Macaca fascicularis: one gene and its partners. The protein of the gene in region 5 purifies or fractionates together with the protein of the main gene of each other region. This does not show direct contact. Links are inferred from orthologs where the notes say so. Each region holds a gene or a part of one and is shown on either strand. Other genes may lie near its edges.

Evidence for each region.
Region 1: the proteins of AMFR (region 5) and RNF185 purify together in Homo sapiens (affinity purification with mass spectrometry; 3 studies listed by BioGRID and IntAct, with this or other methods). This does not show direct contact. The link is inferred for Macaca fascicularis from reciprocal best matches to the Homo sapiens genes AMFR and RNF185.
Region 2: the proteins of AMFR (region 5) and ERLIN1 purify together in Homo sapiens (affinity purification with mass spectrometry; 3 studies listed by BioGRID and IntAct, with this or other methods). This does not show direct contact. The link is inferred for Macaca fascicularis from reciprocal best matches to the Homo sapiens genes AMFR and ERLIN1.
Region 3: the proteins of AMFR (region 5) and UBAC2 purify together in Homo sapiens (affinity purification with western blotting; 4 studies listed by BioGRID and IntAct, with this or other methods). This does not show direct contact. The link is inferred for Macaca fascicularis from reciprocal best matches to the Homo sapiens genes AMFR and UBAC2.
Region 4: the proteins of AMFR (region 5) and DERL2 purify together in Homo sapiens (affinity purification with western blotting; 4 studies listed by BioGRID and IntAct, with this or other methods). This does not show direct contact. The link is inferred for Macaca fascicularis from reciprocal best matches to the Homo sapiens genes AMFR and DERL2.
Region 6: the proteins of AMFR (region 5) and TMUB1 purify together in Homo sapiens (affinity purification with mass spectrometry; 3 studies listed by BioGRID and IntAct, with this or other methods). This does not show direct contact. The link is inferred for Macaca fascicularis from reciprocal best matches to the Homo sapiens genes AMFR and TMUB1.
Region 7: the proteins of AMFR (region 5) and INSIG1 purify together in Homo sapiens (affinity purification with western blotting; 6 studies listed by BioGRID and IntAct, with this or other methods). This does not show direct contact. The link is inferred for Macaca fascicularis from reciprocal best matches to the Homo sapiens genes AMFR and INSIG1.

The regions. Positions count from the first base shown.
Region 1 is NC_088384.1:20,440,521-20,444,020, forward strand, and holds part of RNF185 (E3 ubiquitin-protein ligase RNF185), read right to left. Parts: intron 3,434-3,500; coding exon 3,316-3,433; intron 476-3,315; coding exon 378-475; 3' UTR 1-377. UniProt on the Homo sapiens protein: E3 ubiquitin-protein ligase that regulates selective mitochondrial autophagy by mediating 'Lys-63'-linked polyubiquitination of BNIP1.
Region 2 is NC_088383.1:109,123,676-109,127,175, forward strand, and holds part of ERLIN1 (erlin-1), read right to left. Parts: intron 2,974-3,500; coding exon 2,927-2,973; intron 1,931-2,926; coding exon 1,869-1,930; intron 1-1,868. UniProt on the Homo sapiens protein: Component of the ERLIN1/ERLIN2 complex which mediates the endoplasmic reticulum-associated degradation (ERAD) of inositol 1,4,5-trisphosphate receptors (IP3Rs).
Region 3 is NC_088391.1:90,250,186-90,253,685, reverse strand, and holds part of UBAC2 (ubiquitin-associated domain-containing protein 2), read right to left. Parts: intron 3,012-3,500; coding exon 2,766-3,011; intron 1-2,765. UniProt on the Homo sapiens protein: Restricts trafficking of FAF2 from the endoplasmic reticulum to lipid droplets.
Region 4 is NC_088390.1:5,551,372-5,555,365, forward strand, and holds the start of DERL2 (derlin-2), read right to left. Parts: upstream 2,801-3,994; 5' UTR 2,775-2,800; coding exon 2,682-2,774; intron 1,837-2,681; coding exon 1,771-1,836; intron 1-1,770.
Region 5 is NC_088394.1:52,429,156-52,432,443, forward strand, and holds the end of AMFR (E3 ubiquitin-protein ligase AMFR), read right to left. Parts: intron 3,146-3,288; coding exon 2,961-3,145; intron 2,093-2,960; coding exon 1,945-2,092; 3' UTR 501-1,944; downstream 1-500. UniProt on the Homo sapiens protein: E3 ubiquitin-protein ligase that mediates the polyubiquitination of lysine and cysteine residues on target proteins, such as CD3D, CYP3A4, CFTR, INSIG1, SOAT2/ACAT2 and APOB for proteasomal degradation.
Region 6 is NC_088377.1:192,360,959-192,365,044, forward strand, and holds TMUB1 (transmembrane and ubiquitin-like domain-containing protein 1), read right to left. Parts: upstream 2,801-4,086; 5' UTR 2,746-2,800; coding exon 2,650-2,745; intron 2,599-2,649; exon of another isoform or gene 2,498-2,598; intron 1,916-2,497; coding exon 1,497-1,915; intron 1,223-1,496; coding exon 871-1,222; 3' UTR 414-870; downstream 1-413. Other genes in the region: FASTK (fas-activated serine/threonine kinase), read right to left, coding at 13-94. UniProt on the Homo sapiens protein: Involved in sterol-regulated ubiquitination and degradation of HMG-CoA reductase HMGCR. Involved in positive regulation of AMPA-selective glutamate receptor GRIA2 recycling to the cell surface.
Region 7 is NC_088377.1:196,592,645-196,596,741, forward strand, and holds the start of INSIG1 (insulin-induced gene 1 protein), read left to right. Parts: upstream 1-1,297; 5' UTR 1,298-1,460; intron 1,461-1,692; 5' UTR 1,693-1,719; coding exon 1,720-2,131; intron 2,132-4,097. UniProt on the Homo sapiens protein: Oxysterol-binding protein that mediates feedback control of cholesterol synthesis by controlling both endoplasmic reticulum to Golgi transport of SCAP and degradation of HMGCR.

The DNA of each region.
Region 1 (3,500 bases), on a different chromosome or scaffold from region 5:
TTGGTGCATCCTTTTGTTTTTGTAATATTAAACTCAGTTGAAATTATACTCTGACAGTTTCTCTCTTTCTGCCTCTTCCCTCTACAGAGTCAGGACCTGCTCAACTGGTTGAAACAAGATTTCATGGTGTCACCCATGAGAGAGGACTCAATGCCAAGGCCTGAGGTTATAGGGTGTTTACAGCAGTGGCAATACTCAGGGGTCATCGCCAACTGGTCTTGAGTTCCAAAGCTCTGATGGAGAAACAAGACTCCTTGATGTGTTACTGATCCCACTGATTCCAGGAGTCAAGATTAGCCAGGAAGCCAAATACCAGGAGTTGGGGTGGCACATCACCAGTCCAGAGCCCTGCCACGGATGTAGGCAGGAGCCCAGAATTAGGCGATCAGGAGCCAGAACATGATCACCAGGGCCACAAATAGGAAGAGGCGTGACAGGAACTGCTCATCCACATACTGGGGTGTGCCAGGGACAGCTGGAGAGACAGGAGGGAGAAAACAGGCTGTCAGAACACTGCAGCTATGCACACTACCCACTCAGGCCAGAAGTTGACAGCATTAATCTTTTATGTCTTTACAACATCAGAATCCTACACACAAAAGATTTCTTTTTTTTTTTTTTTTTTTTTTTTTTTTTGAGACGGAGTCTCACGCTGTTGCCCAGGCTGGAGTGCAGTGGCGCGATCTCGGCTCACTGCAAGCTCCGCCTCCTGGGTTCACGCCATTCTCCTGCCTCAGCCTCCTGAGTAGCTAGGACTACAGGCGCCCGCCACCGCGCCCGGTTAATTTTTTGTATTTTTAGTAGAGACGGGGTTTCACTGTGGTCTCGATCTCCTGACCTTGTGATCCGCCCGCCTCAGCCTCCCAAAGTGCTGGGATTACAGGCTTGAGCCACCGCGCCCGGCCTCTTTTTTTTTTTTTTGAAACGGAGTCTTGACCTGTCATCCAGGCTGGAGTGCAGTGGCACGATGTCAGCTCACTGCAACCTCCACTTCCCAGGTTCAAGCGATTTTCCTGCCTCAGTCTCCTAAGTAGCTCGGATTACAGGCATGCGCTACCATGCCTGGCTCATTTTCGTATTTTTAGTAGAGACGGGGTTTCACCATGTTGGTCAGGCTGGTCTTGAACTCTTGACCTTGTGATCCGCCCGCCTCTGCCACCAAAAGTGCTGGGATTATAGGCATGAGCCATTGTGCCCAGCCTTTTTTTTTCTTTTTGAGATGGAGTTTTGCTCTTGTTGCCCAAACTGGAGTGCAATGGCGCAATCTCGGCTCACTGCAACCTCTGCCTCCTGGGTTCAAGCCATTCTCTTGCCTCAGCCTCCTGAGTAGCTGGGATTACAGGTGCATGCCACCACACCCAGCTAATTTTTTTTTTTTTTTTTTTTTTTAATTTTTAGTAGAAACAGGGTTTCACCATGTTAGCCAGGCCGGTCTTGAACTCCTGACCTCAGGTGATCCGCCTGCCTCAGCCTCCCAAAGTGTTGGGATTACAGGTGTGAGCCACTGTGCCCAGCCAAAAAAAATTTCTAAACCCCAAATAATATCAGGCAAAATGAAACTATGTGCAACAATAACAATAAGGACAAGACATGGTTCAATTTATCATAAAAGGTTTGGCCTGCACATGCAAATAAACCAGCTGATTAACAGAAAACTCTTGCAGGAAATAATGAAAGCAAGCCTACTGTTTGTTAAGTATATTCTATCTGCTAAGTGTTTTGTACATGTTATTATTTGGTGGATATTATTATTTCCATTTTGAATAGGAAGCAGCTGAAACATAGGTTTGAGGTGACCTGTTCAACATCGAAAGGCTCAGAAGTCAGTGGCAGAGCTCTGCAGTCTCTCCACACACTGCCTCTCAAGGGCCCCACAGGGATTGCTCACAGGGATTGCCTTCCTTTTCCAGAAGAGAACTAGTATCCAGACAGGCAAAATGACTTGTCTTTCAAGTTAGTGGCAGACGAACTGGGGTGAGAACCTAAGTCTCCACTCCTCTCTGCTTTGAGAAAAGCTACCATTTAGAGCTCCCTGTCCTGACTTTGGGGGAAGGAGGATAAAATAATCTGTATCCAGGATGGTCAAATTGTACCAAGCATGACAAGGGAAAACTGTGACTGTGGCAGGAGAAAAAAGTGATCCAGAGTCTAGCCTGGCTGTGGAACTCTACTTAGCTGGGGAATCCAAGGTTAGCCTTGGACCAGGTTAGAAGCATGCAAGCTATCAGGCAGGTTCTTGTTGGCTTCACAGGGATATGCCCTTTCTTCAGGGCAGAGTACTCCCTATCTTTTGGGGTATCCTTCCTCTGAAAAAAAAATGTGAACAGAGGATAAACCTTCAAGGCAGATAAGGTAAGAAAGGGCATTCCCTAGATATCTTGGTGCTGAGATTCCTCAGTTGGATGCTCTAATGGATTCACGAAGACAGGCAGGCAGACAGTCAAGAAAGACTTACAGATCACCTGCTGTGTACCAAGGACCAGGGTGGGGATGAGAATAACTGGGATGACCCAATTACTGTCTTTAGGGCATAAGCTCTTGGCGTGAACCACACAATGGTCACTTCTGTACCATATGCTGTGTCCAGTGTACATGAAGCTCCGAGTGCAGGCAGAGCTCAACCGATCATGGCATCTCTGCAGGCTCCACAGTAAGGATTTTGGCTCGGGTGTCAGACTGTGATAGAGTTCAGGGCACCCACCTCATTGCCTCGCTCTATACTGAATGCAGATGGCACTTTCAAGCAGTAGGAGGGAGAAATGCAGCAGCAGTTGGTGGACCTAGGCATGGTTCCCACAGGGCTGAGGCTGCTTGTGACCAGCCTCATGTTGTGTCCTGAAGGAAGCTGGACAGAGATGCCAGAGAATGGATATGCCCTCACTCCTGATGAGTCATCGCACATTTCCATGTCCCCAGATGGTCAAAGTGGGGAGTAAATGTGCAGAACTAGGCTTTTCCTTAGCTGAGTACCACTTGTAGTTTTTCATTTTATAGACATGGGGTATGTCTTGGTAACATTACTGAGCATTTTCTGACCTGTTAAACAGAGCTAATCACACACTTGTTCCATAGGGTGGTTGTGATGATCCCCTGAGCTTGGAATGGAAAGTGCTATATATATGCCTAATAGTTGGTAAGGGCTCAACATTGTTACCGTGTCTATAAGTGATCTGAAAACAGCTTAAGACATTTTGAAAAGGCTGATTATCCATGTAGTGACAATTATCTGTAACTTATATACTGCTGAATTCCAAGGAGCTTTCAAGCAATATTACTAAGATATCTTCCTAATTTCTCAAGGAAATAGGCTCTTACCTGGAGGAGGCCGCCCATCGTTTATATTAAATGCTGTGGCAAATATCCCAAAGGGAAATGCCCCAATTCCAAAAGACATCTGGAAGCCACCATCTCCAAATCCAAATCCTTGAAATCCCTGTGTGGAAGAAAGGCAATTAAGGGCAGGAGAATTGGGCAGGTTTCTCCTGTGCCTGTTAAAACTC
Region 2 (3,500 bases), on a different chromosome or scaffold from region 5:
GCTAACTTTAAAGTTCATACTAAAAAGCATACATTAGTTTGGAGGTAATAAGGAACTATCAAAGTTTTCAAGCAAGGGCATGACAGTCAGATTTACACTTTGGCCAGCAGTGTGAAGATGAACTGAGAGGCATAGAGATCAGAGGCAGGGAAAGCATAAGGCAATTACTGCAAAAGTTTAGCTAAGAGGTAAAGAGAGACTAAGCAAACTGAGGAACAGTAGAAATAAAAGAAGAAAGCAGCTGCAAAAGACCATTTTTTAAAAGGCAATTTTTTAAAGCTGTTAAAAAAGACACCAGGCTAGAAGGGAAAGGAGCAAATATTAACTGAGCTGGGCTTTATCTCAGGTAATTTACATAAATTAGCACTGAAGTCTCCTAAATTTGCATATCAGGAAACTAAGAACCAGAGAATTTTAGAAATGCCCCAAAAGGTACATACTAGACCATGTCAGAACCTGTTCTCTATCTATAAAAACATGCTGCTTTCTACTTCTGTCTTCAGATCCAAGAATTTGCTCCACTGGCCTTCCCATGTGGGATATTAGATGCAACTGGATTTCAAATCACAGCCGGGCGCGGCGGCTCATGCCTGTAATCCCAGCACTTTGGGAGACGGAGGCAGGTGGATCATTTGAGTCAGGAGTTCAAGACCATCCTGGCCAACATGGTGAAACCCTGTCTCTACTGAAAATACAAAAATTAGCCTGGTGTGGTGGCGCACACCTGTAGTCCCAGCTACTAGGGAGGCTGAGGCAGGAGAATTGCATGAACCCAAAAGGCAGAGGTCGCACTGAGCTGAGATCATGCCACTGCACTCCAGCACTCCAGCCTGGGTGTCAGAGCAAGACTCCATCTCAAAAAAGAAAAAAAATTAATGGACAGGCCATTAATAAATACTTAATACCTAAATCATTTGCTTGATCATTTCCCAAATGAATTATATCTAATAGTTTCCTATTTAATCTCTGGCTAAAGAATCATCAGTCCCTTCCCTTTTTCAATCAAAATCCATTCCATTGATTTGTGATCAAGGAAAGGAGATGAAAAAAAAGACAAGGAAAATGCTTAATATCTGAAAAATATAATCCAAATGCACTTGACAGTAATACACCTGGCTCTCTACTCTGAAATCTTTTCACTATTTGTGCCTGTACTGGTGATGTGAAATTTATTATGACCTTACATCCCAATATATTCTTTTTTAGGTCTGTATTATGTCTTCTCAAGTACAATTAAAACCCCTGAAGGCAAAGGCTCTAACTTCATCTTTTTAAATTGTTCTTGCCAAACACAATATTCTGTATATACTAGACATACCAGTTTTATTAACAAGCATGCATCTAAAACGGCATATCTTTCTTCACAGCTTCTAATTAAGTTTTTGATTACAACAGTATCTACCCACCCCATTTCTGTAGGTTTTCATCTTTTATCAAGAAAATGCTTTCCCCACACTGAAGGCTTTCACACTGCTTTGCAAATTACAGCAAATATCAACTAGAAAATACTTCTCTTTGATGGCAAATCAGTGTGGGCCAAGGAATTATCAGTTACAGATATCTAACACCTAAGGAAATTATCTCTCATCCTGACTGGATAAAATACTACTTTCCTATTCTAGAAATAACCAATGACCATCTTGCTCTTAGAAACACTAAGCTCAGGGAAAAGTAAGTTATACAGTTGCATAAAGTCACCTCTGTCCAGAACTTCTGACCTATTTTTGCCTCTATTCCCCAGAAATTTATTAATCAGTGATCAATGAAGTCATAAAACTTTCAAAGTACCCCTCTATTCCTCAAAGAATCTCTCAGCTATAAAGCCTCTGGCTATAACTATGAAAACCACAGATAGATGGGTAACATACCTGCATAAGGAGCCAACATATTAACCACTTCTATTCGGTCAATATAGATCATGACCCCACCACTAAAAACAAAGAAACAAAAGTGTGAACTACTAAAGGCAATCCATAAAATACAGTTATAGACCTGTGGAGAAGCTGATAATCAAACATATTATTATTCACTTAAACACAGAGAGAATTCACTTCCCTTTTCATAGCATTTCTGCCCCTCTATAGGTGTCAATGTCTTCTGTACACTTGTAATAGTCATTTAAAATAAGTAATTTAAAAAATACCTTGAACTTCACATTCTTCTTTTGATACAATTCAATGCAGTGATTATACCCTAGAAATAATTTGGACCCTGCTTGCCTTTCTTTCCCTAAACCTCTTTAGGACAGCAATTCTCAAAGTGAGGTCTTCAGACCAGTAGTATCAGCATCACACAGGAACTTTTATAGTTAGAAATGAAAATTCTCAGGCCTCACTCCAGACCTACTGAATCAGAAACTCTAAATTAGATGGCATTTAACACTACACATGAGAAGAAGGTGGGATGATTAATTTTAAACTATGTTTTATTAAGCATCTATTCTGGGCCAAGTACTGGTTAGGCATTTTCATATACAGTAATTCTAATCCTTACAATAACTCTGCAAGGTCGATTTTACTGCCTTTTATAAATGAGGAAACTAAGCTTTAAAGTGTCAATAAAGGAATCTGTTGGGGAAAGAGGTATATAGAAACTGTCTGTACTTTTTGCTCAATTTCACTATGAACCTAAAACTGCTGTAAAAAATAAAGTCTTTAAAAAATAGTCAATAAAGCAGATGCAGCAGTGCTAATACAGTTAGGTCTACTTGCTCTAAAACTCCAGTTTTTTTCAATAATACCCTAACGGTTCTTAAGATGGAAAAGCTCCTATTTGGAGACAGGCCTTTGCTCAAACAATGCTCAAATCAGAAATCCCCTTGGGTTCACTATCATGCCTATTTGAGAGATGTCTAAGTGATCATAGGTGTAGGAACAGAAACTCCATCTGAACTAAAGGGAGGCTGGTAGGCAAAGAGAAAGCTTACCTTGTTCCACAAGGCACATTTTTAACTTCATCAGTTTGTAGTGTCGTCTAGGGAGGAAAAGATATCTCATCAACATTCAAGAAACACATTGTCAAAAAACTACTGGTGCCAGAGGCAAATCTCTGGAGAGCTGCTGACAGTAAGTACAGCAGAGTTCCATCACAATTTCAGTTCCCAAAGATTAGCTTTCAGAATAGTCATTTCTTTCTGTATTCTAGTAGAAATGAAAGACTTGAGACAGAAAATATTTTACAACAATTTTTTTTCTTTTTTTTTTTGAGACAGAGTCTTACTTTGTCACCCAGACTGGAGTGCAGTGGTATAATCTTGGCTCACTGCAACCTCTGCCTCCTGGGTTCAAGCGATTCTTGTGCCTCAGCCTCCCAAGTAGCTGGAATTACAGGCATGCACCATCACGCTCAGCTAATTTTTGTATTTTTAGTAAAGACGACGTTTCACCATGTTGGTCAGGCTGGTCTCAAACTCCTGGCCTCAAATGATCCACCCACCTTGGCCTCCCAAAGTGCTGGGATTACAGGAGTGAGCCACGGTGCCCAGCCTACAGCGAATGTTT
Region 3 (3,500 bases), on a different chromosome or scaffold from region 5:
TGGTGAGACCATCCTATGAAAGTGGAGGAGTCTGACAGCAGTACAAACAGCCATAAAGGCCCGTGCCACTTCACAGGCGCCTGGTGGGAATGCACGCTCCAGCAGGGCAGGGATTTGGGTCTGTCTCATTCCCTGAGGCCTGGGTGCAAGCTGGTAGATCCCATGATGTTCCAAGTATCTGGGGTGGGGAAAGACACCGTGCGGAGTTTACGGCAAGGCAGGAAAGGAGAACCATAATGTGGGTCCATAGGGTCCTGGAGCGAGGGTGTGCGCACGCAGCCAAGAATCCCACTTGTATAAACTACTGCTGCACCACGAAGTGCCTGTCCATAGGCCGTAACGTGAGCATGTGGTCAGCAGTGGAGACCCACCACGTTACCAAGCCAGGCGGGCCGACAGAAACCCGTCACCAGATGGACATGGGCATCTGGGCTCAGCATGAGTGGGGCTGCAGGGCATGGGTGAGCTGCAGAAGCAGACATGCCAGACCACCCTGGCAGCCACCTCTGCTGCACCACAGCCTCTTCCCAGCTAACACCGACTGCCACAGCGGTTGGGCCCCTCATGACCAAGTGACAGAGGGGAAAACAGCCAAATGGATAGGCTGGCTCAGGACATGAGTGGCAGCTGGAGGAAACGGCTGCATGATGGCTCGATCTTGAAAGACAATGATCAGGGGAACCCCTATGGGCAGAGCCCGGGCAGCACATTTGGTCACCAACTCTGAGTGGAAAGAGAAGTGGCCTGAGGCAATCACACGTGTGGATCTGCTGGGCATGGCAGATCACCTGGTTGGCCGGTCAGGGGACTGGAAGGAAGGGCACAAGGAGGACCCAGCTAGAGGAACAGCAGCATCAAGTGTTTTGCAGGTAGTGCCCACCACGGGCATCCACCACCGAAAAGGCACCAAGTGGAAGGTGGGCAGAATGGCCGTGGCTCCATCGCCAGATAACCCAGTGCTGGCACACGAATGGACGGCCACAGTGGCGGCACAGAGGAATGTGCGGTCCCCTCACCCAGACCGACCTATCTCCTGCCACTATGGAGCATCCAACCTGGCACCCACAGAGACTGCATGCACCGGATAACCACCGTCCGCAAGCAGAACAGTCACGCAGCACCGAGACGATGCTGGGCCCTTTCCACCCTGCAGCGTTATGGAACACACTGTCCCCCACCCCTTGCCCCTGCCCCATATTCACACACTGAAGCCTTAATCCTGCGATGTGACTGTATGCTGACAGTGTTCGCTCTTAAACTCCTTGTATAAAAATCTTCCTGAGGAGGCCAATCTGAGAAATGCAGCTTCTCTGGTTTGCTTATGAGTACAAATTCAAAGCTCTCCAATGGAGAATCTCCTCCCAGGACTCCCAAGGTATCTCAGACAACATATTTCCCCCAAATCTGCTCTTTTGATATTGGTGAAATGGAACTATCAGTCCTCTATCTTCAAGATTATCTAGGCCAGAAACATCAGAACACCCCCTCATAAGCTCTTTGCCTCTACCTTTATACTCAATCACTACTCAGTTTTTCTGACCTTGATCATTCTGAGTTCTCATACCTTTCGCTCTTCTCTGTTTCCTTGTAGGATTTACCTCCTGCTAAATACAAGGCTTCATCTGTAGCCTGTGTTCACCTTGGATGTAGTTCTTCTCTTACAGAACTTACTAGTTCTTTGCTTTCGGCTCTCAGCTCTCACCCCTACAGAGGTGACTCCATCGCCTACATATATATGTAGCTTCCACATCTCCAAGACAGAGATGTCCATCCTCCAGCTTTAAATACATCATGAGCATCTTTATGGCATGTTCCAGAGTCACTCAAATTCAAGCACATCTTTAAGAAACAACTTCTGCTTCTCTCTTTCTCTTGTAGACTCTGCACCTGATAAGGTGCCCCCTTCCTCCCATCCCAATATAAACTCTGGGACCTGCATCTCCAATGAGACTCTAAGGACCTCAAACCTGATTTCACTTCTCCAAACCATCGTGAGATCTGCAGACCTACTTCTTGCATCTAATGCTAGTGGGAGACAGAGAGATGGCAGAGGTAAGTATGGTTTACAACTACCCCAGGGGTAAAGAAGGTAGAGGCGAAAAATGGGGAGCCCTGTAGGCTGGCTCACAGAAGTGTCCTAGAAAGATCAGGCCTGAGGTTTTAGCCTGATGTGCACTAACCCTCCTTCCTTCGCTGCCCATGGAAGACAAGTGTGGTATCAGATTGTTTGGATGCAGTATTTGTAGACAAATGTGCAATAGTTTCTGATTATTGATAGCAAGGTTGAGAAAACACAGCATTTTTTAAATCTACTCCTTGGTTGTTCCATTGAAAATCTTATTACCTTCATATTCTCTTCATTTCAATTAAGGAAAATCAAGAAGTTTTACATTTGTTCTTCACTCCATGGCATATGATTAGCATTTTAACAGGAAGACACTGTGGCTTTTACAAGATTATAAAAACAGATAAATAGCACATCTTGTTAACTAGGTTGGTGTTTCTCTAAGAAGTCATGCTTATCTAATATAGGTGGAAAAAGAATGTCCAGTTTGACCAATCTTTCAGCTACAATTTATTTTTTACCTTCTTAAAAAACTAAGAATCGCCACTAACAGAGACCTACATTCTCTTTGGAAATGTCAAAATCCGCTTGCAAGGCACTGGAATAAAATGTAGTCTCTATCTCACATGCAATCACAGAGGAAAGATTTGCTGGGGCCACTGAGAATTTCTAAATTTTTAGTGATTATTATCACTTTTACCTGCTGCTGTCTCTGTCGCCTCCCTTGTGCAAACTGAGAGAACATCAGCTGCCGGTCCAGCAGCTCCATCCTCTGCTGTCTCTGGATGTCTAGCGTGGCTCCCATCCCAATTCTGGCTTCGCTGGTGGGTTCTGAAGAAGAGAAGATGGGTTCAAGTGTCCAAGAAAAGAATTTTGCCATCCAGCTGGGGATGCAGAGCACCTGATGCACCTGGAACATTTTGCTGTTGTAGCACAGACCGGACATCTAAAAGAAAAACGTCCAATGTGATTGATTAAATGTAGTATCATTTTAAAAAATGTACATGACACAAAAATCAGCAGCCTCCAAACACTGCACATAGTGTTCTTCTTAGTCACAGCGTGTTAGGCAATAAGCAAAATCCTCTACCACAGAACACTAAGCAGTACAAATCAACACAAAACTGAATTTACTCAGTAAAACAAAATTGTTTTTTATTGAATTAGAAGAGCTAGCAAAATTCTAATCATTTAGTATACAAAGTTCAGGTAAAAGATTGTCAAGACACTGTCTTCATTTTTTAAAAAGGAGTAAGAGATCTGATTATTGAAACACTTTCACACTGTACTGACTCTGTGGTTACCTTTGTTGGCAGATGGCCATCGCAGAGACACCAGCAGAAAACAACTGCCATGTCTCAGCTGACCCAGTCACACGATCAATTTATCAGAGAATAAACACAATCTAAAATCTTGGTTTTTATTTACATAGTGT
Region 4 (3,994 bases), on a different chromosome or scaffold from region 5:
CCACCCACCTCAGCCTCCCAAAGTGCTGGGATTACAGGCGTGAGCCACCGCGCCCGGCCAAACACTCATTTTCTTGTTGGAAACCCTGATACACCCTTCCCTACCCAACCTCTCCACACCCACAGTAACCACTCACAATGGTAGAGTGCTTAACATTTTAAAATGTCTACTATCTGTTGTGATTCTGTGAGACAAGCAAGTTAATTCACAGATAGGAAACTAAAAGACTAAAAGTTGAATAACTAGCTGATACTAGTTATTCAGCTAAAAGTTGAACTACTAGCTGAACACTAGTTACTCAGCTGAAAGTTGAACTTTTAAATGTCCTGACCAAGGACCCGCAGGAGTAGATGGAGACTGATGGCAAATCTCAAAGTCCTAACTCCAAATGTCATCAAGAGTTTAACAGTTTAACCCCAGGCAGAGTAAAACCAAGCAAGCCAAGTAGGAAGCAAGACTTACTTGGATGGAACTACAGCTCCATGTGAGTATTGTGGGAACACAGTGACAAGAGATGACAAGACTACTTTACAAATCACTAAATTCTTGAGAATTGGTAACTATTAAAGTTGAAACAATTCAGTTCTACATATTAATTACCCAGATTTTAGAGTCCTCATCCTAGTGAGGAGACAAGCATACACATAACTGCAAAGTAAAGGTGAGAGATGCTCTAAAACAAAGGAGGATGAGTACATAAAGGTTACACAAAAGCTGCGTTTTGAAAGGCAAGCCAGAGTTCAATGGGTATAAAGTGAACGAAACACATTTGAGACAGAGGGAACAGCATGTGTAGAGGCACAATTATTGGCTTTTGGGTCTCTCCCCTACTCCAACTATGGTCTGTAAGATCATCTTGGAACAGAAAAATCCATGTTTCTTTTAGCATTTTGAGACAGAGTTTCGCTCTTGTCTCAGAGGCTGGCATAATCTCGGCTCATTGCAACCTCCGCCTCCCGGGTTCAAGTGATTCTCCTGCCTCAGCCTCCCCAGTAGCTAGGATTACAGGCATGTGTCATTACGCCCGGCTAATTTTTGTATTTTTAGTAGAGACAGGGCTTCACCATGTTGGCCAGGCTGGTCTCGAACTCCTGACCTCAGGTGATCTGCCTGCCTCAGCCTCCCAAAGTGCTGGGATTACAGGCGTGAGCCACTGCGCCCAGCCTCTTTTGACATTTTAATCACCGGAAAGGACCATCTCCCACTGTAATCTAATAAACCACCACATAGCTTTAGATGTTTGGAATTTTGTTAGTATGATCTGATCACTGGAAGACAGATCACAATTTAAAAGCACTAACAGAATTGAGTTTCTGGACCATCATGATAACACCAAGGTGGTGGGCGTGCCTAGGTGGTGAATGGACAAAATAAGGCCATCCCTGCAGAGACAACCCCTAAGCAGCTAGCTGGTCACTCTCCTCTCATACTACAACATTAAGTCTAAACCAGTGATTTCCGAATACAGGAACTGGACACATCAAAACGATGCAGGGAACTTTAAAAATGAAACACAGATTTTAATTCCTACCCTTGCAAATTCTGATTTGGTACTTGTTGAGGAGCTTGGGAATCTCTTCAAAGTTCCCTAAGGGATTCTCAAGTCCAACCAGGCTGCAGAATCACTGCTTTACATCCTGACAAGACAACTTATAATCAAAGGTCCCCCATGGGGTTCTTTTTTAGGATAGTGTACAACGGGATTTGCTACTAAACAGTAAGTAAAAGAAGAAACTGAAGCATTAATCACTATTGTGATGAACCACTTACTTGAAAGTGTTTAAAGATTAATTCAGGATTGAAGTACAACTGAAAAGGTGTGATCAATTCCAACTGCTGAAATAGAAAAAGAGCTTCTTAAAGCAAATCAACCAAGAAACAAAATTTCATCATTTACAACAAAGGATTAGTAGGTCTAGCAATTTCCAACTCTCGGTCAATTACTGATTTTCTTTAAGCCTTTCTTCTTAGGCCAGAGGAAGAGGTTGGTAAAGAATTCTCTAGAATTGGTAGAATTCTTTGTATCCTCAATACCTAACACAAAAAAGTTTATGTTGCAATAGTTGAGGCTGACATGAAGAAATGAGGCAGACAGGTGGTGATATTTTAGACACAGGACAAATAAAAACAGCTGCTATGAATCTACCCACCACATGGGCACCACCTGAAACAGCCGTGTGAAACAACAAAACTCACTTGAAATAACGGAGACTCGAGACCCTGCCACCGTTGGGGCTGGGTACCTCCAGCTAGCCCTTTGTTACCCAGAGACCCTCTTTATTATAAGCCACTCCCCTCTGGACAGTTTCCACCTTGCTTTCCTCATTCCTGTTTCTTCATAAAACGGACCTTCCTCTCACTAGTCACCACGGTACCACCTGGCCATTGGCAGAGCTCTCGGACACATTTCTCGGGTGGGAGGCTCCCGCAACCCTAACCCGGTATAGGTCCGGCCCTCATCTCTTAGAAACTGACCTGACCCCCCATGAAGCAGCACTCCCTTCTCAGGTCACTGGATAAGCATTCTCGGCGCCAACTCGAACCCCAGAGTAATCCCTGTACGTCTCCAACCATCCCCGGGACCAGCCCCTCTGGGCCTCCCCGAAGCCCAAACCCCAGTTTCCTGAAGACCCAGTCATATCCAGCCCAGATAATGAGAAGGTGGCACTGCAGCTGCTCACCACGGCGGCGGTGGTGAGGACGCAGGCCGTGGTGTAGGCGCGGCTGACCGGTGGGATCTGCAGGTACTCCAGCCGCAAGCTCTGGTACGCCATCTTCCCCACCGTCGCCTGCCCCCCTCACTTCCCCTTCCGCCAGCAGGCCCCGGCGGCTGGGCGGGACAAAGGCCTCCCCCGCGCCCGCTTTAGGGTTCCCGCGGCTGCCCAATCAACGCCAAGCAATCGGCCAGCCGCCAATCCGTAGAGACTTAAGGAAGGCACATCCGCCAATCACGAGTTGCGTGGCCACCGCCCCCCCCAGCGCCCCAAGTACAGGTTCCTTCTGCCAATCCCCGCCGGCCACAGCTAACTTTCCCGCCCGGCCCCTTTCTGTCATAATTGACGTGTCCCCAACCAGCCAATCAGGAACGCGAGAGTATCCCGCGTTTACTTTCGCTCGCCGAGGCGCGTATCAGTCGGAATTTTGGGGAGCCAACCGCGCCGTCTGTCGCTGGCAAGCCAGCGGCGGTTTAAAGGAGGTGGCGGGAAGCCTGTGTGTGCTCGAATTCGTGACCCTCATGGTCGCTCCGGTAAGTACTGCAGGGCAGCATTTTCTCTGAGGAGAAGCGGGGACGGGCGAGACTGGCTTAGGCGGCATCGCGAGGGAGCGCGGCGGCCCGTGGGTCGGCCTTACAGCGGGCTCCAACCTGAAGGTCCCAGCATGCAGCGCGGGCTCGGGGCCCGACGGATGCCGGGAGCCGGCCGGAAGTTCCGGCGCTCTGGCTTCTGGGTCCTGTCCAGCGCGATCGCCGGGTCTTCGCTTAACTCACTAAGATGGCCTGGGCACCTCTGCGTTGAATCGGCAAATACTGATCAAGCCACATTTATTCTGCCTTCAGGAACTCTTTAAGTCTAGCAGAGAAGATGAGGCGGTAGAAGTTTATCAGCCAGTGCCCGAAGAGAGGTCCTGATGGGAATTAAAAGGAAGGAGTTAATCAAGGAAGTGTATTTTTTGTTGTTAGCGATGGCGCACATCTGTAATCCCAGCTACGTGGGAGGCTGAGCTAAGAGGATCACTTGAACTTAGGAGGCCGAGGTTGTAGTGAGCCAACATCATACCACTGCACTCCAACCTGGGCGAGAGAGTGAGACTTTGTCTCAAAAAACAAAAACAAAAATAACAACAACAAGAAAATTAGCCAGGCATGGTGGCCTGCACCTGTAGTTCTGGCTACTTGGGAGGCTGAGGTGGGAGGATTGCTTGGACCCGGGAGGTTGAGGCTGCAGTGATCCGTGATTGTGCCACTGCACTCCGGCCTGGGTGACAGAGCCAGAAC
Region 5 (3,288 bases):
GATGCCCCCAGGAAGTGGTGAAATCCTTAAGTATCCAGGTGTAAAATGGAGGACAGACTGAGGACTTCACTTCTTGGATCATTTTAAGCTACTTAATAAGCCCCTGCTCTAAACACTGTGGTTTGGCTGTTTTGTAATGTGTCAAGACCCTCTAAAATTGATCCAAATAATTTTGTCTTCTCACACATCAGAAACATGTGAATATGTGGAATTAGTGGCACCTATAGTGGGTGCAATGTGTAAAGCATAACGTAATTCGAGGAGAGTAAAATAATCTTCTGTTACCCACTTACCTGAAAAAAAATGATATAAATACAAGGGGAAGAAAAATGCAGTTCTGCCTCCTCCACATATACTACTAGGAAAAATAAAAGTTCCCAATTCAAAAACATGGGAAAAACCCTCCAACCAAAATAGTACACACAAAATCCAAATCAAAATGGGGTTTAACGTTGGCACCTCTGGAAAGAGATGCCTTAGCTTCCAGCCACACACATCAGTAGAGTTTGCTTTTTATTATTATTACTGTTGTTTTACAATAAAAACAAATAGCTATGCTCTCAGCAAAACAAAATTTTTTTTTAAAAAAATCACAGAAATTTACTAACAGCATTTCAAGGTAAGGCTTTTGAAAGATTTATTGAAATAAATTATCTTTGCCTAAAAATTTACCTATCACGTTTTTCAATTACTTTTCAACATTCTAAAAACTTTCAGTTATGTAAAATACATTTAAACTTTGCCAATAATTGTAGATAATACTGGATTCTTCCCAAAAGGACTACCACAAAACAAAGCTTTCAAACAGTTCAAAAAAAAAAAAAGTAATCCAGTGGGGCATAAAACTGAAGTCTGCAACCTAAGACTGCACGGTTCAAATCCTTAAAGTTAAACATGTGAAGAATTTGAAGAGATTTGGGACCTGGGCCTGCTCCAAGGCATGTAGGTTCACACCTTACCTTCTCTGCTGAATTAAACCAGGAAGAACACAGCTAGGAAAACGCAGTGCTCCCAGGATGAAAGATACAAAAGTTCTCTTTTATTTCTTTAATAAAGCCCTTCGAGGTTTACTCTCCCATCTTGCAAGGCCCACATCTTGTTCAAGGACCAAACTCACAGGCTTTAGCATTGCCTAATGTACTTGACCAGTGAATGAAAACCATAAACCAAAGCTTGCTGCTTAACCACTCCGCAGGTCCAGAGGGGACAAGGAAATGCTGAGAGGGGAGGGAACCCATGGGGCACACTCATGAGATGCAGGAGCACCAGAGTTCGCGGAAATCAAGCCGGCTTTGGACTGGGGGATCAGAAAGTCCCAGATACAGTGGGACAGAAAGGGGTGATTTTGTCACACCCTGCAGCCCTGGGGTTTCCCCTCCTCTGCTCCAGGTATTGAACCAAGAGTTATTTTTCCAAGACGCCCTGCTGGCTCAGGGGTGCCTGAGCCCGTGGGCCTGGCCTCTGGCACAGTCTACGTGCTTCCACAACAAGGACAGCGGTTTGATAACAGATGTTACCCCATGATGTGGGGGCGGGCTCACACTGTGCGTCTCCCCGACACTCTTCCCACTGGATGTGGTGCTCAGGACACCTGCATTTGTGGGATGTACACACGAGGCAGGAATTGAAGTTGCCTGCTGCAGGCAGGCGACTGCTCACTTCCTCCTGATCATCCCCTACCCCAAGCAGTCCAGTCAACACCAGAAGAGATCATGCCTAGAGTTAAAATTTGCAGTGTTTCTAAGGGGAAGAGAAATGTCACATAGAAAGTATTACAAAGAAGGATTAAATTTGTCAGCTGTCCAAACACTATAAGACCACATGCTTTATACAGCGGCAATGCAGTCAAGCCCGCTTCTCCACACAGCGGGCAGAACTGGGACAGGCCTCCTCCGGTCGGTTGGGCACAGGGCGCAGGAGGCAGCTGAGGAAGGCAAGGGAGCGCTAGGAGGTCTGCTGCTTCTGAAGCCTCCGTTCCGCGGCGGCAGCCAGCATCCTTCGACGCAGGGTCACCGGGTCAGAGGACGCACCTTCCGAGGGAAGGAAGCTCTCTGAGGCCGCATCATCTTCAGAACTTTTGTTCAAGAAACGTCTAGAAAAAAACAGAAGTTTTTTCTGTCTCATGGGAGAGATGGATTGCTGTGGAACACAGCCAGAAGGCTGATTCCACATCTCCCCACGTCCAGGCACCTTCATGAAGCTGTCACTCAGCACCACCTCATGACCAAGACATCCAGCCCCCAACAGATGGGAGCTAGTTCTCTCTGCACCAGGGAGGAACCCTTCAGTGCTGCTCCGTGCTGTCTCTCTGTGCCCTTCCCCTCTACCCACAGACACAGCACAGAACCCTCACAATCACAGGGTCTGCCAGGGCCCAAACCCACTCGATGAACACAGTACTGGCCCTGTCCTCAAGAGCTGGAACAAAACCCCCTCTATCTACAGGATACACCTGCCGCAGCTGCCACCAACCATGGGGGTTTGACGCACAGATGCTCCATGTGTGTTCATAATGCTCGGCTGAAAGGCAGAGTGGTCAAGAGGGAGGACACCTGGGAGGCAGACGCCAGGGCCAGGCCAGGGCTAACCTCTCCGGCCTCCACTTCTTCAGCTCTGTGTCGGCCGAATGGGTTAACAGAGATCCCTCTTAGAGCTGTGAAAATGATTCATATAAAGGGCTTAGAATAGGTTGGCACACAAGTGCTCCCTTGGCAAGCGTGGCCAAAGGGGCACAGGAGATAACTGAGAGTACCAGCATCAGAGGTAGACCAGTAGGGGCCAGTGTTACCAGATGCTCTGGATTTTTCAAGACAGGCTTGAAATCTGAGTTTTAGGTTGGCATGTAATGGCTTTTCACTGTTGGCATCTGTTTAAAAAGAGAAGACGTGGGCCTGCCAACGGCCTTCAGCCACTGGTTTTTGACCTGGATTATGCCAAGCGGGGCTGGAGAAGCGACTCACTTGCGAGCTTGCTGGAGGAGCTCGTCCTTACGCTGCACCAGCATGCGCTGTCTCTCATCAGCAGACTTGGAGAAGCGGCTCCCACGAGCCTCAAAGTCTTCCACCTCACTGGGCTCCACTTCCACCTCGCCAAAGTCCAGCGTCTCCTCCAGGCGAGGACTGAGGTCCAGTGGCACACGCTCGGTCTGGACATGGGGCAGCAAGCAAGGAGGCAGCTGTGAGCACAGGCCTCCCTCCTAAGCAGGTTCCTCACCTACAGCGCACCCTAGACAAGGCAGTTCTGGATGCAAAGAGAAGGCTGCTGCCAAGCAGGGAGGCAGAAACTAGG
Region 6 (4,086 bases), on a different chromosome or scaffold from region 5:
CGCCACCCCTACATGACTCCCCGGGCCCTGCGCAGGTCGCTCCCTCAGTCGGTCTCGGGGCCCGGGGGCCGGGTTCCCCCCGCGGCCTCCTCATCGGCTGGCCACCGAGTCCGCCATCTTCCCAGCAGCCCCCAGATAGCCGCCCGGACACCAATCCCGAAACAGCTATCGACCAGCGGAGACGTGGCTCCCGGCAGGCACTGCGAGCCAGGGAGCCGTGAGCTCCGCCCGCGGGAAGTGCGCGCGCGGCACCGGGGGCGGGGCCACGGAGGCCGGCGCCAAAGCCAGAGCAGAAGGCAGGGGAGAAGGGAAAGCGGTGGGCCAGAGCCGAGGGCGCCGTCCGTGCCCTTCTCTCCCAAGGGGCGAGGAGTCCCCGCCCGCCATCCCGCACACACTCAGACACACTGCAAGAGTGAAAACTTCACAGTTACTTTAATCTGCACAAGTTCCGGGGAACTCCTATGCCCCTCCCCTTCACCTGCCTCCCACCGTCCTGGCGTCCCCAACTCAGGCCAAGGAGCTGTCAGGGATTGGAGGCGGCTGGGTCCTCCGGCAGAACGCTAAGACGGGCCCCGGGGGCGGCCGGGCTCTGCCCGGGGCCGAGGCAGCGACAGCAGATGCCCGACCCCGAGGAGCCCACTCCCAGTGCGGACTGAGGGCCAGCAGCCCCGGGAGGTGGCCCCGAGCCCCGGTGGTCGCAGGGCGGGGCCTCTGCCAGCCCCTGGAGTCTTCTGCGGCGCAGGGCTGGGCTCCAGGGCAGCGGGAAGAGGCAGGCCGGAGAGACGGGCCTGGGCAGGCAGCAGCTCCCGCTGCGGCGCGGGGAGCAAGGTCCAGAGGGGCCGGCGACGCTGCCAAACGCCCGCGGAGGCACTACGGGCGGTACATGGCGAAGGCCAGGAGACTGAGGAGCAGGGTGAAGCCGGCCAGGCCCAGAGTGGCGGTCAGGGGAAAGAAGGGCCGGTACTGGATCTGGCAGTACCAGAGCAGCAGCAGCAGCAGGAGCAGCAGGGGCAGCAGCAGGCTGCCGATTTCCAGCCCGGAGGGGCCGGGCTCGGACCCCGGCGGGCAGGGGGGATTTGGGGGGCCGACCCTCGTGGACACGTGGCAGTGGAGAACGCAGTTGGGAGGGAGGTGAAGGCTGCCCAGGGTCTGGGTGTCGTCGCCTAGCAGCTGCCCTTGGTAGATGAGTCGCACCTGCTGTTCCCGGCCAGGAAACTGGGTCCTGAGGAGAGAGGGACCTGGGTAAGAGAGCAGGCCTCAGGCAATCCTAGTCCCTGGCCCCGGAACAACACTCCCACCCTTCCCCTGCCCTCCACAACACACCGGCCCTGGCCTGGGAGGGGCAGACTGCCAAGGGAACAAGTGCAGTTGTGATCTGGGGCGCTCAGCGCCTCCAGTATAAAGGAGGGCTGGGTCTTAGGTCTCTCCTGGGGCCTTCTGTGACCACTCCCCCCACCCCTGTCTTCAGCATTGCTCCTGCCTCTTGACCTACGTACCTTTTCAAGGAGCCAATGGTGTCGTGGGGCCAGGCCCTGGCCACCTGCTCTGAATCATTGAGGAATTTCAGCCGTAGCACGAGGGGCTCCTGCGGGGAGTCCGGGGCTGGTGGTGTTGCTGTGACCCCCGTGCTGGGCTCTGGCTGTGCAGCTTGACCTCTGTGTCTCAGGCTGGGGGTCTCTGCCCCTGGGACCTCCGCTCTCATGGTGTCGGTAGCTGCCATGGCTGCGCTGGGCTGGGATGGCGTTGGGGTCCCTGACGGCTGGGGCAGTGGGTCCCCGCCCTCAGCGGTGTGCGTTGAGACCCAGGCGAGGGCCAGCACCAGAAGGCAGGCAAGCACCGAGAAAAGGACGGTCACCTCATCACCCACCCCTTCAATCAGGGTCATGGCGCCTGCCTTGCCCGCCGCGCTACCGAGCTGGAGAGGCACAAAGAGCCCGTGAGGCGCGGGCCCTCTGACCAGGAGCCCTGGAACCTCCACAGGGTCCTGCCCCCACCCCACCGCGACGCTCCCACCGTCCTCAGCCTGGGTTCCCTCACCCACCCCAGGGTACGGGCTGCTTTGCCTCCCAGTCGCCCCAAACTTGCCTCCGGGTGCCCCTTCCCATCGCCGAATCCCAAGTCCTAACTTTCTGTCATCTGAGCTCGAGGTCTTCAACCAGCTCCCAACTCACCCAAACCCTATCCCAAGGTAAGGGCCTAAGCAACGCCTCCCCTAAACTTCACCCCAGCCAAACTTCACGCCCATGCGTATCTATTCTCCTGCCCACTTCACCCCAGTGTGTCTACTCCTTCACCGACTTCACCCCATGCTCATCTACTCCGTTGCTAAAGTTTCTCCGAGGTGGGGGTAGAGCCTCTGTGCCCCCACCCCCCGCCCCCCGCATTACGGTTCACCTAAACCCCACCCGCGGCACAGGACTGCTTCCCAGGCTTCCCCCACAGCAAACGTCAAACTCCGCCCCTGGGCAATCTGGAGCCTCCGAGCGTCACCACCCACCCAGCTCGGTCCCCTCAACCCCACTCCGCGGAGGCCCAACTCCACGCCTTCTCTGGAAGTGTCTCCAAGCCCCGCGGGCTGCCAGACCCCAGATCCCGCCCGGAATCCGAGACTTCACGTTCCCTACCCCCACCCCTCATCACCCCTCCCACCTTCCCGCCCCCCGGAGCCGCAGGAGGGCACGGCGATCCAGGGCAGGGCGGGCGGGGCCCGGCCGGGGCCCTGGGCGGCGGGGTGGGCGCGGTCATGGCGCGGGGACTCACCGCCCGGCTGCCCCAGCTCCATCGCGGCCCCTCGGACACTTCCGGGCGGGAGGCGCGGAGGTCGCAGGCACCTGAAGCACCCCTCCTTCCTCGCCGCCGCGGCCCGGGGCATTGTGGGACTTGTAGTCCGGCGCCGCTCTGTCTCCGCCCTCCGCCCTGCGGACCCACGTGCTGGGCTCCACCCGCGGTTCTCTGCTCCAGCAGATCGCGGAGGGGTCGGTGGGGACGGCTTTGGGGGGTTGCGCTACCGGCTAGAGGTTTGGGCGGCAGCAGGGTCCGCCCCCTCCCCCGCCAACAGCCAGAGCATCTGTCACACCAGACACCGACGTCAGCTGAAGCACGTCAGAACACCCGTGTTCGTGATGCAGTGAGGAAGGCTCTGAGGAACTCAGGTGGCCCCTACCCTTATGTCAGAGTGGACGCCAGAAGGCACTTTGGCCACCAAAATTAATTCTTCAGCCCAGAGCCCAATATCCATGGGCTGTCCCACTAGGCTGGCCAGGGATACCCATCCTCAGGGCTGCCCCTTTCCTTGGTCCCCTCCTCCACCTTGCTCTTTCAGGACTGTGGAAGAAGCATAGACCTTGGAACCTGGCACAAATCCTGATCCCTTATCCTGTGCTTCTCAGCTATATGACCTTGGGTGGGTTATTGAATCTCTCTAAAGATTAATTTCTTCCTTTCTGAAACATACGTCGTAAGTCAATCATAAGGAAGAAATTAGATGTTTTATTTAAAAGTGTGAAAACTAAGGTACATGTCACACAGTAGCTATTTGCTCACCTCCGCTCAAAGCTGGTCTCTGGAATCGGATCCTGGTGTGTTACTGTGTGGATGACATTGAATCCCAGGCCTGTGGATATCTGTGGATTTTTCCCTCTGGGCTCCTGTAGCCACAGAGATCTCACATCCTGGTTTTTACAGGCCAGTCTTGATTTAAAATAATCTATCCTAGTTTTCCCATAGTTCTTGCCTACTGTGGGAGCAAGTGGCCCAAATATTGCCTTAGGAATGTCAGTCTAGATTGATACCATACAGAACTAACCTATCTAGTTCCATCCCTCCTGTTCATTCATTTATTCTACTAACATATTTTTAAAAGATATACTATGGCCAGGCGCGGTGGCTTATGTCTGTAATCCTGGCACTTTGGGAGACCGAGGTAGGTGGATCACTGAGGTCAGGAGTTCGAGACCAGCCTGGCCAACATGGTAAAAGCCCATCTCTACTAAAAAAAAAAAAATACAAAAATTAGTTGGATGTGGTGGAGGGTGCCTGTAATTCCAGCTACTCAGGAGGCTGAGGCAGGAGAATCACTTGAACGTG
Region 7 (4,097 bases), on a different chromosome or scaffold from region 5:
CCTCAAGCACTTAATGCAAGGTGGAGGGTAAACAATGGCCAAGACCCAAACTGCAATGTTCCCTGAAGTCCAACCTGCTTGGAGTCCTTGGGAATATGTACAATGGTTAACAGGGCTTGAGAGGAGTCAGCTGGGAAGGTGACAGCGAGACTCTGCCCCGCAGAGGGACCGCTGAGGACGAGACCCTTGAGGATGAGACCCCTGAGGACGAGACTGCCCTGCAGAGGAACCGCTGAGGACGGACCCCTGCAGGCCGTCCACGCCCACCACGCGTGTCATCCTCAGGAAACGCAATCGGATGCTCAGAATTTCGCCCCTAAAGGGACTCAGGGCAGTCCCAGCTCAAGAAAACGTCTTTTTTTTAACCTTCTGGCTTAGAGCCACAACCCCAGGCTGAGGATGCCACATCAGCGGCGTTTCCTCGCCACGCTGCAGGCCTGACTCACGTTTCCAAGACTGCAGGGCCCCCGGGCCGAGCGCGGCTACTGAGAGAGAGCACAGCGTCCTCCCTTAGCCCCTGCTCATCTGCACGGAGCAAAGCCGTTGCTTTCTCCGCTGTCAGCGCTTTATACGACTCGGATGTAGGCTCTGAGCGGGCACGGGCCCGCCCTTAGACGGCGACCCGAGGGGCAAACAGGATGGAGGCGCGATCCTTTGGGGACTGTGGTCTCGATTTTATCTGCTTCTGGGCTGTGCGGGTGGTTTGCTCTCCTGGCGTGAGCAAAGGCCACTAGGGGCCCGAGGAAATGACCCACCGATGCAAGCCCGCCATTGCTCTGAGCAGGGTCCGGCCCCGCGCCAGAGCCCGCGCTCCGCCAGGGAGGCCTGCGCGTTCGAGACCCGTCGCCTCCGGGTCAGGCGCGGGACACCAGGCGAGGGGAGCCAGGAGCCGGGAGGGGCGGCGCCGGGCCCGCAACCCCACCCTGTCCTCCCTCCGCCTCCTCCCGGCCAGACCGTCCCCTCCCAGGCCCCAACTCCGCGGCCGTCCCCTCGCAGCTGGCCCGTCCCGCTCGGGCCCGCGTGCCCCGCAGCCGCCACGCGCCCCGCCGTCCGTGCCGCGGCTCCCGCCCGAGCGCGCGCGGGCCGGCGGTGGCGTGTGCGCACGTCATATGGGCCGCCCGCCTCCCATTGGTTGCCGCCGCCTCACCAGACCGCTTGTGGACGGGCGCGCGGGCGGGGCGGGGCGAGCTCAGGCCACGCCCCTAGGCGGTGCGCGCGGGCGGTGGGTAGGCCGGGCAGGGTCACGTGATGCGGGCCCCGCGGCCCGCCATATAAGCCCGCGTGCCCGCCAGGCGCCGCGGCCGCACTTGGGGCCGTCCCGGGCCGCGACTCCTCCTTCCCCACAGCCCCGCCTCCGCTCGCAGAGCCCGAGGGCTGGCGCCTCTCGGCCAGGTACGCGGCGGGCTGGGGCAGGGGTCGCGGGCGGGGTTTGGTCGCGCTGCAGCCGGTCCTCCCCGGAGGTAGGCGGGCGCGGGCCCCGTTGGGTCTCTGGGACGCTGGTCCCGCTGGGGCCGGGGGTGCTGCTTGATGTGAGCGCGGGTCCCGTCCGCCGCTGGCCCTGGGCGAGTGCACCGGGTTCTAACCTGGTGGGGGCTGCGCTGCCGCCTGGCCCCGGTGCCGGGGTTCGCGTCCCGCGGGGCCTTCCTCGCTCTTTGTCTCTTCTGAGTGAACTTGATGACCCCCTTCTTCCAGGAAGCGCCTCTCGGACGCGGGTGACCGATGCCCAGATTGCACGACCACTTCTGGAGTTGCTCCTGTGCGCACAGCGTGAGGCGCCGAGGCCCCCCGCGAGCCAGCGCCGCGGGGCTGGCAGCCAAGGTTGGGGAGATGATCAGCGCTTCCGTGTCCGGGCCCTCCCTGCTGGCGGCCCATGGTGCCCCGGACGCTGACCCCGCGCCCGGGGGCCGCAGTGCTGCGATGAGCAGCCCGGAGCCCGGCGGCCCCTACCCCAACACCTGGCATCATCGCCTGGTGCAGAGGAGCCTCGTGCTCTTCTCGGTTGGGGTGGTCCTAGCCCTGGTGCTCAACCTGCTGCAGATCCAGAGGAATGTCACTCTCTTCCCCGAGGAGGTGATCGCTACCATCTTTTCCTCCGCCTGGTGGGTCCCTCCCTGCTGCGGGACAGCAGCTGGTGAGTACCCCCCCCCGCGGTTCTTCTGGAAGTAAAAAGGGTGTCTTTTCGGTTGAAAGTACTTTTCAGCCTATTGAGAAACATGCATTTGAAACTAGAACTGTCCACAGATTGAAAGTGTGCATCTCCAGTTTGGGGATTTAGAGAAATGAAGGAGGGGTAGAGAGGACCTGGCACCCCCCAGGGCGGGTTCGGGCCACAGCTCTCTGAAGTTTGAGGAAGCACAGTGATGGAGATGAGGCAGGGAGATAATTGGCTGTTCAAGCAGGTGCTGTGCCAAGCTGACTGAGGGCCCTTCCCTCCTGGCGTCCGGGTACAGCCCCAGCTGTCATCCCGCGCCAGCCGCCCCGGATTGGCCGCCTGGGGAACTGGTGAGCAGCGGGACTGAAAGGCCATTGGTCGCGGCAGCAAACATGCTACCCTGCTGGATAACTGAAAACAAACCCGTCACATGTGTTCAGGAGGCGGTTGCCAGGGGAGCAACTTCTCAGTACTTCCTTTTGCCGGGTCGCTGAGTAAACCGTGGTCGGAAGCCAAAACGTTTACTCCCTGAACTGTTAGCGCTCTGTAGATTACGTTCTTAAGGAAAAGAGTAACCCCCTTACGACGTTTAGATTTTCGTACACCCAGGCAGTAGCATAGATGCCTTACAGTGTAACACTAGGTCAGTCTGAACTGTGGACAGGGGGACTGCTGAGTGTCTTTACTAGAATTTCTTGGCTATCATTGAACCTCTTTTATAGAAATGTTGAGTTGATCTTGGCCCAGCAAATCCCTTACTGCTGCTGTAGTCACACAGCATTTGTTTCTTTAACGAGGTTTTGTCAGGTGCTTTCTACAACCTCAACTCTACAAGCTGTTGAAATGTTAATCCAAAAGTAGCACCACAAGCCCCTATCCTTAAGCAGCTTACAGTCTGGTGGGGAAAACAAATGAGTAAGTGACTCCAGTGCAGTGCAGGGGGCATCCTGTTTGCTTTGTGGCTGACATTTGTCAGCCGACTGCTGACCATAGGCTTCAGATGCTTTGCTGTGTTCATTCCTTACAGCAATACCATGTGTAGCTTCATTTATAGATGTGGAAACCGAATCACAGGTGAAGTCACATCCAAGCGTGCGCAGGTAGAAAGGGGCCAAGCCATCCATGCTAACAGCTCCCGCTGCCTCTGTAGGTGTGTCTCCTGCACTGTGGAAACACATTGCCTCAGTTGACTCACTGCAAACAGCAAGCAGCAGAGTTTTGTAACAGATTAACAGAGGGCTGTGTGTTCAAGAACTAGGACATATGTCTGTAATTATTAAGTAGTGGGTAGAATGTTTTCATCTTTGTTCTCGGAGGGAGGGGAACCTCTTTTGTTTTTTGAAACACTTTATGTGGCTGTACTAATTGAAAAATTTTTGAGACATATATCTAGATTTAAAATTCCATATTTCATATACATTTGGCAGAATAGTTTCTTTCCTTTAACCAAAAACTTGATCTTAGAAATGAAATAGTTTAGCCTTCAGTATTTGTAATTGAAGCCTCAAGGGTTTCTAGGAATATCTGGACAATTTCTCATACTCTCATACTCTACCTTTTTTTTTTAAACCATCAGCCAAGAGCATAAGTAAAATATCATAGTATGTTTTTTACCTATTTAGTTTTTAACCTTAAAAGGCAAAATTAAGCTATAGTGAAGTAAAGTTAATTTGGGGGGGGGTCTGTTTTTCAAAACTCCAAAATTAGAACATGATTAATAAATTGAAAACTGAACTTTTTTTTCTGAATGTTTGATGAAAACTGTGTTTCCTGTTTCTCAGTTGAACCTAAAATGTGTATTTCTTTCATACTAGACCAAGGTGAAACAATTGCAGGGTTCTCAAGAGCCCTGGGACCCAGTGACCCTTGTGTCTCAGCATCCAACCCCGCAGGCCAGCACCCCACTCCCCCCCACAAACATTCATTCCTGCCTTCATTTTTGCCA